2 linked regions of the Callithrix jacchus genome follow. Each later gene encodes a partner of the first gene's protein in a complex. Links are inferred from orthologs where the notes say so. Each region holds a gene or a part of one and is shown on either strand. Other genes may lie near its edges.

What was found. Proteins that work in one complex are often made in the same cells at the same time.
Region 2: EXOSC6 (region 1) and EXOSC1 share a complex: the UniProt entries of both Homo sapiens proteins name them as parts of the RNA exosome core complex. The link is inferred for Callithrix jacchus from reciprocal best matches to the Homo sapiens genes EXOSC6 and EXOSC1.

What each region holds. Positions count from the first base shown.
Region 1 is NC_133521.1:31,651,223-31,656,328, forward strand, and holds EXOSC6 (exosome complex component MTR3), read left to right. Parts: upstream 1-1,685; 5' UTR 1,686-1,730; coding exon 1,731-2,546; 3' UTR 2,547-4,209; downstream 4,210-5,106. Other genes in the region: AARS1 (alanine--tRNA ligase, cytoplasmic), read left to right, coding at 1-2, 309-422, 758-943. UniProt on the Homo sapiens protein: Non-catalytic component of the RNA exosome complex which has 3'->5' exoribonuclease activity and participates in a multitude of cellular RNA processing and degradation events.
Region 2 is NC_133513.1:90,266,126-90,271,231, forward strand, and holds the start of EXOSC1 (exosome complex component CSL4), read right to left. Parts: upstream 2,713-5,106; 5' UTR 2,693-2,712; coding exon 2,662-2,692; intron 2,557-2,661; coding exon 2,441-2,556; intron 1-2,440. Other genes in the region: palmitoyltransferase ZDHHC16, read left to right, coding at 4,048-4,187, 4,874-5,034. UniProt on the Homo sapiens protein: Non-catalytic component of the RNA exosome complex which has 3'->5' exoribonuclease activity and participates in a multitude of cellular RNA processing and degradation events.

The DNA of each region.
Region 1 (5,106 bases):
AGGTAACCTAGGGACCGGGGCCCTTACCCTGGGGCTCAGCAGCCCTCTGGTGGCTGATACGCGTCCTCTGTGGCTCTTAGCCAAGGGGTTATCTGGGGCCCCCTATCTGGGATTTAGGTGGGACTGAGCCCTGGGGTGATCTGGCTCTGGGTGGGAAGAGGAGCAGCTCCTTGCATGTGTGGGGCACGCTTGGGTGGGGTTGGGGGTGTGTGGCGGTCTTGCTGTGGACTGCAGGCTCTCACCTGAGTGGAGAGCAGGGTACCTGCTCCAGCACCGTGGCCTGAGCCAGCTCTTCCCACCCCCCGCAGGCCCTGAATGAAGCTTTGAAGCTCTTCAAGATGCACTCCCCTCAGACGTCTGCCATGCTCTTCACTGTGGATAATGAGGCTGGCAAAATCACGTGCCTGTGTCAAGTCCCCCAGGTCAGAACTGCCTACGACCTTTCACACCAGGGGGGCAGTGTAGGTCTTAAGCTTATTCCTGAGGCCTGTGTGTTCACAATCGGCATTTGAAACTAGACACCTGTTGCCCTTTACCCCGGCCTTCTCATTGGTGAAGATGTCTGGTTGATACTTGGCTTTGCCACTCTGTCCTTTCCTGGCTGTGGCTATGACTTCCCCCTTTACCAGCTGTTAAGCGTGTCTCGGCTGCCAGCATCACCACCCTGGGCAGGAGTGGGGGATGGCTCCTGCATTTCTTTTCCTCCATTCCTCATTTATCTTGTGTCCTAACTCCCCCTTCCCTTCTTTTCTTCCAGAATGCAGCCAATAGGGGCCTAAAAGCCAGCGAGTGGGTGCAGCAGGTATCAGGCCTGATGGATGGTAAGGGTGGTGGCAAGGATGTGTCTGCGCAGGCCACAGGCAAGAACGTTGGCTGCCTGCAGGAGGCGCTGCAGCTGGCCACTTCCTTTGCCCAGCTGCACCTCGGGGATGTGAAGAACTGAGGTGGGGAAGGAGGAGTTTGGCACTGGATCCATAGGTCCAGCCAGGAGTTCCTCCTCTGCTCTAAGAACATTAGAATCTTGGGACCTTTAAAGAGCTCCCACCATCTTCCTAACCCCACGGTAACTGGAAGAGGTCCTGTGACCCAGTATTCCTTATATGTCTGCCCTGAGTACCCCAGCATTGCTGTTGTGCATCGATAGGCATCTGGAGCGGACAGCTCTCCAGACCTGAGCTGTCTGGGTTAGCAAATGGGAATCATTTTCGCTGCAGAGAATAAAGGACCATGTGCAATAATTGACGCCGCAGGATCTCTACCCATTCCCAATGGGGGCGCGCCGTTTCCACAGCCTGTGGCCCCTGCTGTCTAGAATAAATGCTGTGACTCCTGCTGGCTGCTGCTGTATTCACTGTCTAGCCCCAGAACTCTGAATTTTGGGAGTAGCCCCTGTGGTTGCCTCAACCGTTTGTGGCGATGGAAGCCAAATAGGTGACATAGAGGGAGGTGTTCATAATTCAACAGAAAATGAGGGGTGGAAGCAGAGAAGCCTCTTTCTTCTAACTGCCGCCCCCCGCCCCCGTTGTATGTATGAACGCCACATGCCCTGCACTAGCGGCACCAAGGCTTTGAGGACGCCGGCCGTTCTCCCTCCAGGCCTTCAGAGGGCGCTATAGCGAAGCCGGCTGCTCCCCGACATCCTTCGCGCAGGCGCGCATCTTTAAGCAGCGGAAGAGCTGGTGTGCGTGGTGGAGCAGCGGCCGGAAGCAGGTCGCACGCCAGGCGCCGTGATGCCTGGGGACCACCGCCGTATACGCGGCCCGGAGGAATCACAGCCGCCGCAGCTGTACGCGGCCGACGAAGAGGATGCGCCCGCCGCTCGCGACCCGACGCGGCTGCGACCCGTGTACGCTCGCGCGGGGTTGCTGAGCCAAGCCAAGGGCTCAGCCTACCTGGAGGCAGGAGGCACCAAGGTGTTGTGCGCGGTGTCGGGCCCGCGCCAGGCCGAGGGCGGCGAGCGCGGGGGCGGCCCGGCCGGAGCGGGTGGCGAGGCCCCGGCCGCGCTGCGTGGTCGACTGCTCTGCGATTTCCGCCGCGCCCCCTTCGCGGGGCGCCGGCGCCGCGCTCCCCAGGGCGGCGGTGAGGAGCGTGAGCTGGCGCTGGCGCTGCAGGAGGCGCTGGAGCCAGCGGTGCGCCTGGGCCGATACCCGCGTGCACAGCTCGAGGTGTCTGCGCTGCTGCTGGAGGACGGGGGCTCAGCCCTGGCCGCCGCGCTCACCGCCGCTGCGCTCGCCCTGGCCGATGCGGGCGTGGAGATGTACGACCTGGTGGTGGGCTGCGGCCTGAGCCTCGCTCCGGGGCCCGCGTCCACCTGGCTACTGGACCCCACGCGGCTCGAGGAGGAGCGCGCCGCCGCCGGTCTCACTGTGGCACTCATGCCCGTCCTGAATCAGGTGGCTGGGCTGCTGGGTAGCGGGGAGGGTGGCCTGACCGAGAGCTGGGCGGAGGCCGTACGCCTTGGCCTCGAGGGCTGCCAGCGCCTCTATCCAGTGTTGCAGCAGTGCCTGGTGCGGGCTGCCCGTCGCAGGGGCGCCGCCCCGCCCTGAACAACGACGGACGCCACGCCGAGACCCGTGCCGTGGGCCTCGAGCCTGCATCGAGATATGCAGCAGGAGCCCCGGAGAGCACCTGGAGAGGCTGAAACAGAGCCGAGGCGCCAGACAGCTGTGGTGGTGGAAGGGCTTTTTACAAACCTCATTAAAGGAACTTTCCTCCTTTAGCCGGCTCTCAGCTGCGACCCAGTTGAGAACACCTGTGAGCGCAGCCTGACTTCCAGGCTGGAAACTTGGAACTTACCTGGAAGCTGGTATCTGGGAACTGTAGTCATTTAAGGGATAGATCCTTTGCACCGCCAGCCAGAGACTCCCTCTGACGTAACTGGGCGACTTTTGAGAGGTTGGACAAGAGGCTGTGCCTTCTCACCGTGTCTGAGCCAAAAGAAAAACACTTCTATATCTGAAAAGCGTCTTCTGTTGTGATTCTTCTTGGTCCAGGATTTTAGAGAGCACGGCTTCTTTGTTCTTACATCCCAGGTGGCAAGGGGCCGTGACCGCGGTGCCTTTAACCGGTCCCGTTCCTTAGACCAACTTGAACGGGACAGATAGGCTGCAAAGAACAGCTGCAGGACTGGATGTGGGCCCTGTGCTTTATAGAAGGAGAAGCTGCCCCCACACGAACCAGAGACAGGACAGCTGCTGAGATATGACAAAAGTAGGAAGAGTTGTATGGCCCCAGCGGCGCGCTGAGTGCACCCCAGCCCCCCACCCTGGTTTGGTACTGGGCAAGACCCAACTCGGCTGGGTAGCTGGAATGGGTTTTGCTCTGGGTGGAAGCCAGATCTGTCCTTGGCCATGTGGAGAACGGCACAACCAGAGGCCTCCACAGCCGGTGGGAAGTGGTGTCCTGGGCCGTCTTCACGTGGTGCCTTGGTCCTAGGAGGAAAACCCTGAGCAACGCCCAGAGAGGGCAGGTGAACTGCCAGGAAAGCCAGGTACGGCTTGGCTGCTCCATAGGGCAGAACCGGCCTGACTCACCACGAGGGTGGGGTCTTTCCTGTGTGGCTCCCAGATCTGCTGGTCTGGTCTCAAGGCTGCTCTGGACGCAGCCAGGTGACTGCCATTGAGAAGGCAGGGCAGCCTGGTCCGGTCTCTGCACTCGGCTTCTCGGGGAAGGGCCGGTGCCGGGCAGCCCAAGGACCAGAATGAGTTTCTGGAGCCACACCAAGAAGCCTTGACCAGGAAAAAGATTTATGAATTTTATTTTTTCCCTTTTGACTTACCTTTCCAGAGCAGGTCTGAAATGGTATCACACCAGTGGAGACAGCTCATGTTATTCTGAAGGATGGCTTTGGAGAGTGGATGACGAGTCTGGAGCCCCAAGAGGGTGGTGTGGGGTGTACGCCGAGGACCTTCCGGCTGTTTCGGGCAGGGAGGGAGACTGGGATCCCAGGGAAATCTGTTGGCTGTTGGTGCATCCAGAGGGGAGTGAAGAGCAGCTGTGGCCGTGTCTGCACTCAGGACTGAGGATTGCCCCTGAGTGCTGGGGTGGGGTGGGGGTGGGCTGTCAGCTGTCCCTTGGAAGACAGCCTCAGCTTCATGAGGATGGCGACCTGGTACAGTCCCAGGCTACCTCCCTCCTAACGCTGTCAGTCCCATGGCTGTCATCGTGAAATGTAACCTCCTAAGAAGCTAAACCTGCTGCAACAGTGAACCTTCCGCTTTTCTGGCCAAGCCCTGTGTTCTCTTCTATTGACCCAGCTCCAGAACGGGTATCTCAGGTTGCATGGGTGCTACCAGGAGGCCTTCACAACCTAGGCAAGGCAAGGACCTACCCCAGAACGCCCGGAGCTGATGAGCCTGGAGGAGATCCTGCTTCCTCTTGGCTGTCCTGGTCCTATGCGTGGTCCTCCACCTGTAGGGAAAGTAGAAGCAGGACGTTAGTGGAGGGGCAGGAGGCATGGGCTAGGAAAGGAGGGGCCCACAGCACCTAGTCTTTCTGCACCCACTTTCCATTTCCCCAGAGCTTTGGCACCTCAGATCTAGGAACTCAGAACCACCAGGCAAAAGAAAGCATTTTTTCTACATGGAGATGTGCCCATTCAAATGTTACAGGTGTGACTCAGGCCCTGGGCAGCAGAGAGAGCTCTCCCGAGCCCAGCAGGCCAAGAACAGAGCTGTGTGGGTGGATGGGGGTGGGCTCCCAGCACAGTGTAGGCCAGGCGTGGCCTGCCTCAGACCACCGAGAGTGGAGGTGATGGTAGAGCAGGGAATGTTGGGGCCCTCTAATTTCACACAGAGGGCTGTTACCAGTTCCAGGAAGGTCTGTGTGCCATAGCTTCTGGGGGTGGGGCATGGGACAGCTGGAGACCCAGCAACGGCAGGTGGAGATGGGGCCCGGAAGAGGGGCTTGGGTTTTAACAAGCTTACCAGCCAGGTCTCACACAAGGGCTTTGGGGCCTTGGGGCACACCTGTGACATTCCCTCTACAGTCCTCCTGTCCCTGTCCCCCCAGTGCCTTCCAGGAGAAGGTATTTCAGCCCAGAACCAACCCTGGCATAGCTGAGCCCTCCAAGCCTGGAATTGGGTGACAGAAAACAGGGCCAGGCCC
Region 2 (5,106 bases), on another chromosome or scaffold:
TGAAATGTCCTGGCTAACCCTTGGGTCAAGGCATTTGTGGCTTGAGAGTAACATAGGAATGCCTTAGTACACAGTTGAGAGTTGGAGTACAGATTCATTTATAGCCCAGAGCAGAAGACATTAGAAACTTTAGGAAATAGTAGGAAAAAGAGGTTACAGAATGCTGCTAAGACATAAATCTCACTATTCTAGATGAGTTCTAGTAAGTTTTTTGGTGATTCTCTTGGAATTTCTTGGTATACAACTATATACTGCCTATAATCATGGATAATTTTTTTCTTTTTTTTTTTTGAGATGGAGTTTCACTCTTGTTGCCCAGGCTGGAGTCCAGTGGCACGATCTCGGCTCACTGCCACCTCCGCCTCCTGAGTACAAGTGATTCTCCTGCCTCAGCCTCCTGAGTAGCTGGGATTACAGGCACGCGCCAACATGCCCAGCTAATTTTTTGTATTTTTAGTAGAGACGGGGTTTCACCATGTTGACCAGGATGGTCTCGATCTCTTGACCTCGTGATCCACCCGCCTCGGCCTCCCAAAGTGCTGGGATTACAGGCTTGAGCCCCCGCCTGGCTGAAATTCCCACAAAAATGTTACATAATAGTGGCCATGCTTGTTTTCTTCTATTTTAAGTGAATAGCTGCATTTGCTCTTTGAGCATGGTATTGGCTGTTGGTGTAAGACAGATAGTTTGAACCTCATCTTTTATCAATCTCTCCCTTGGTCATGATGCTTCAGCTCTCCTGGCCTTCTTTCAGTTTCTCTGACTTACTAAATTCTTCCCACTTTTGGATCTCTCTTCAACCCGTTCTTTCTACCAGAACTACACTCTCTCCACCCACCCAACTCTTACTTACTCTTTAGATGATTCAGCTTAAATGTCACTTCTGCTGACTAGGGTGGGTTTGGTTGTTACATGTTTTCAAGGTGCCCTGTAATATTCTTTTAAGCAGTCACCAAATATGTAACCATATACAATTTAAGCATTTATTTTACAATTTGTGTCTGTGTCCTTTGATAGCAGAAACCAAGTCAGCGCTGTGCCTGACACATGAAAACACTCAGATGGTATCTGTGAAGTGAAGAAACTCAGGACTGTTAAGGACATTCCCAAGAATGACTGAATAGAAAGCCCCTTGAATCAGACAGCTTAATTTACTTACTCAAAGCAGAATCAAGGTCTAGTTAGCTAGAACCTATGTGTTCTAATTCTGAATCCTCTATTGTGCTCCTTCAAATATTGCTTATGCGATCCTGAGCTAATCCTAGATCAATTTCTGATTTTTTTTTTTTTGAGACGGAGTTTCGCTTGTGTTACCCAGGGGCTAAAGTGCAATGGCGCTATCTCGGTTCACTGCAACCTCCGCCTCCTGGATTCAGGCAATTCTCCTGCCTCAGCCTCCTGAGTAGCTGGGATTACAGACATGCGCCACCATGCCCAGCTAATTTTTTGTACTTTTTAGTAGAGACGGGGTTTCACCATGTTGACCAGGATGGTCTCGATCTCTTGACCTCGTGATTCACCCGCCTCGGCCTCCCAAAGTGCTGGGATTAGAGGCTTGAGCCACCGCGCCCAGCCCGATCAATTTCTAAAACTAGAAAGTTTGGTATTATGCATTCAACAAACATTTATTGAGGAGCTGCCTTGTGCTAGATACTGAATGTATGGTGGTAGGGCCTGCTTTCATGGAACTTAGATTCAAGCAGTGGAGAAGTCTGGTGGGAATCATATACCTGAGTTTCTAATCATATGCTGACATAAATGCTTGGAATAAAAGGAACAGAGGTCTTTGTGAGTCTTAAACAAAACAAACAAAAACAAAACACCCCACAAAACCCCTTTCCTCAATTAGTGGGTCCAGAAGGGCTTCTCTGAGAAGTTGATAGTACAGAAGCTATCTAAAGGAGGTAGGAATTAAATGGGCCTAGGAAGACAGAAGCGTTCCAGATAGATGAATGTTACAAAGGCTCTGTAGCAGGAGAAAGCTTGGCACCTTAGCGACATTGAGAGAAGCTAGTATGTTATAAATTTTTTAAAAAAGGGCAAGCAGAGACTGTGATTATAAATTTTAAAAACAGAAAAGACAGTATGACTAGATTGCGTCAGTGAGGTGGAGATAGTGGCGCAAGATAAAGCCGGAGAGATAAGCGACATTCATACAGTATGCAACTCACTGCTGGGCTGGGCTGGGTTACTGAGTTCACATCTGCTTTTGTCCCAACCTCCCTCCCCAAGAGTCAGCAGCACAACCAAGCGAGATCAACACAACTAGTTTGTGGTGTCCAAGTGCACAACGGCGGCGATCACGGCTAGAAGAAACTAAGACCAAGGTTGTACCGGTGAGGCACTAAAGACACGTCCGCAGTGGCCATGCCTAAGGACTGGAACTTAATGAAAGCCTAAGTGAAAAGAGAGAGAGGAGACGGCAAGCCGCTCCCTTTACCGCGCCGTTCTCGCTGCTCTTCATCAGGCAGCCGGCAAGCGACGAAAAGATGTAACCGTGGCGGGTGTAGGTGCCACTGCCCGGGCTGCCCTCCTCCAAGTTACACAGACGTTCGCCTGCAGAAAAAATGCTCTATCAGTCACTGGCCCCCAGAAGCTATAGGCCGTCCAGCCTTCCAGCTTCGACCTCTTTCCAGGACTCTACGGGAAGCGCTCTCTTACCGGGAATGCAGTATCTGACGGGTGGCGCCATGATTGCCGCTGTCCAAACCCGGATGGAAACGAAGTCGACTTCTCATTGGCCAAACCCAGGCACAGTTCCGCAGTAAGACTTGCGTCAATTGGTGTTCTTTATCACGTGATCTGTAGGAGCGCCTCCTTGCGGGTAAACTCAATTTCCCAGATTACCCCGGGACAAATCCGGGGGCGGAACTTCAGAGCTCCACGCTTGCGACTGCGCCTGTGGTTGAGGATGGGCTGGCGGCGGGTCCGGTTGCGCTGGCTGGCGCTGCGGGCTGCGTGCCATGGTGGGTTGGATTGAGCCCGGCCCGGCCGGGGCGCCGAGTCAGAAGGGGTGGCAGTGAGCGGCGGCAGAGGCTGCGGGGCTCGGTTTGGCTGACTGGGGAGTCGGCAGGCGGCAGGTAAGGGCGAAGCCTCGGCCCTTGCTCCCAATCCTAGTCCCTTTTTTTGGGTCGGGCACTGCCCTGAGGCCTTGTCTTGAGTCCGGGTTCCTGCTCTCTCCCCGCCCCGCCCTGCGGGGCCGTGTCTTCCTCCGCCGGAGCACACCTTCCGAGCAACCGTTAGGCATAGAGCCGGAAGGAAGGAGGTCAAGCGACCCCCTCCATTTCACAGATAGGGAACCTCAGATTCAGAGACAGGGTTTGGCTTGTCCAAAATCTTGAAGATAGTTAAGATAGAGCCCAAACTGGAACCCACGGTTTTTGACTTACAGACCGTCGCAGTTTCACCTCGTGGCTCTCATTGAGAAATAAAACCTTTTCCTGTTTGTTTGTTTGTTTTTTTAAATATATACGGGGTCTCGCTCTGTCGCCAGGCTGGAGTGTAGTGGCGTGATCTCGGCTCACTGAAATCTACGCCCCCTGGGTTCAAACAGTTCTGCCTCAGCCTCCCAAGCAGCTGGGATTACAGGCGTGTGTCACCGTGCCTGGCTAATTTTTGTACTTAGAGACAGGGTTTCACCTTGTTGGCCAGCCTGGTCCCGAACTCTTGGTCTCAGGTGATCCACCCGCCTCGGCCTCCCAAGGTGTTAGGATAACAGGCGTGAGCCACCGCGCCTGGTCCTTTTCCCGGTTTTTTAAACCGCAGCTTTCAGTCCTGCGTTCTGATCCTCTTCACGGCCCCCCATCCCTACTTCAGTGAGCTTTCTCAGGTTGAAAAAGTCGAGCTCTGGTTGTGTGGGCCCCTCATGAAAAGATGAGCAGCCCCAAAATAAAGTTGCTATTCTTTTTCTTCTCAGCGTGTTAGCCCAGAAGGGAGATCTGCACATGAATAAAATGCTACTCTTCATTGATGTCTGGTATCTCCTACTTGGAATTGCAAACATCCTAAGAGCAGCGTCTTTGATCTCAGTTGTTCACCTGACTTCTGATGGCGTTTGCCGTGTGTCCCTGTTCCCTCAGTCGACTTTCCCCTTGGGAAACAGATGGTGACTTAGAGCCATGGGAAGAAGGGAGGCTGTGGCCTGTAGTCTCCTCCAGTCTGGTGGCAGATCATGACTATGGCCTGTGGTGACTACTCTGAGGGATCACAGTACTCGGGGCTTCTGCTTGGGGTGGTAGTGAGGCTACACTTTGCCCTTCTTCCCCCCACACATCTTTCTGAATTTTGCTTTACCTCAGTGTCCTGAGATGAAAAGTCTATGTGTTCAGTTGTAGCCCACTTACTACATATATCATTTTCCTGGCATCCCCTACCCCATTAGCTAAAGGGGAGAGGCCCTAGCCTCAGACTTTGTTCACCTAAATCTGTATCTATGCATTTAGGAGTTTTTTATTTTTCTTCTTATTTTTTTTTTGAGATGGAATTTTGTCCCTCTTGCCCAGGCTGGAGTGCAATGGCATGATCTGACTCTCCACAACCTCCACCTCTCAGGTTCAAGTGATTCTCCCACCTCAGTCTTCCATGTAGCTGGGATTACAGGCATGCACCTCCATGCCTGGCTTATTTTGTATTTTTAGTAGAGACGGGGGTTTCTCCATGTTGGTCAGGCCAGTCTCAAACTCCCGACCTCAGGTGATCTGCCCGCCTTGGCCTCCCAAAGTGCTGGGATTATAGGCATGAGCCCCCATGTCCGGTGTCTAGGAGCTTTTCACATAGTTGGGCTGATTTCTGGTTGAACTTGTTTTAAAAAACAACTTCTAGCTCCTAAGTGCTATGATGTTAATAATAGTTTGTATTTCTCTTTATTAATCAGGAAGAATGATAGCAGCAGACACTTATTTAGTGTTATCACATTGGCAGGAGTGTCCTTGTTGGTATTTGTAGGACTGATAGACATCTGGCTGGACTTTCCACTTCTGCATCCCTCCAGGTCATTCATTCAACAGATATTTATTGAGTACTTCCATGAGCCAGGTATTGTGCTAAGTGCTTTATAAACATTTCATTTACACTTACCAAGTACAGTTTGCCCTTCATATCTTCGAG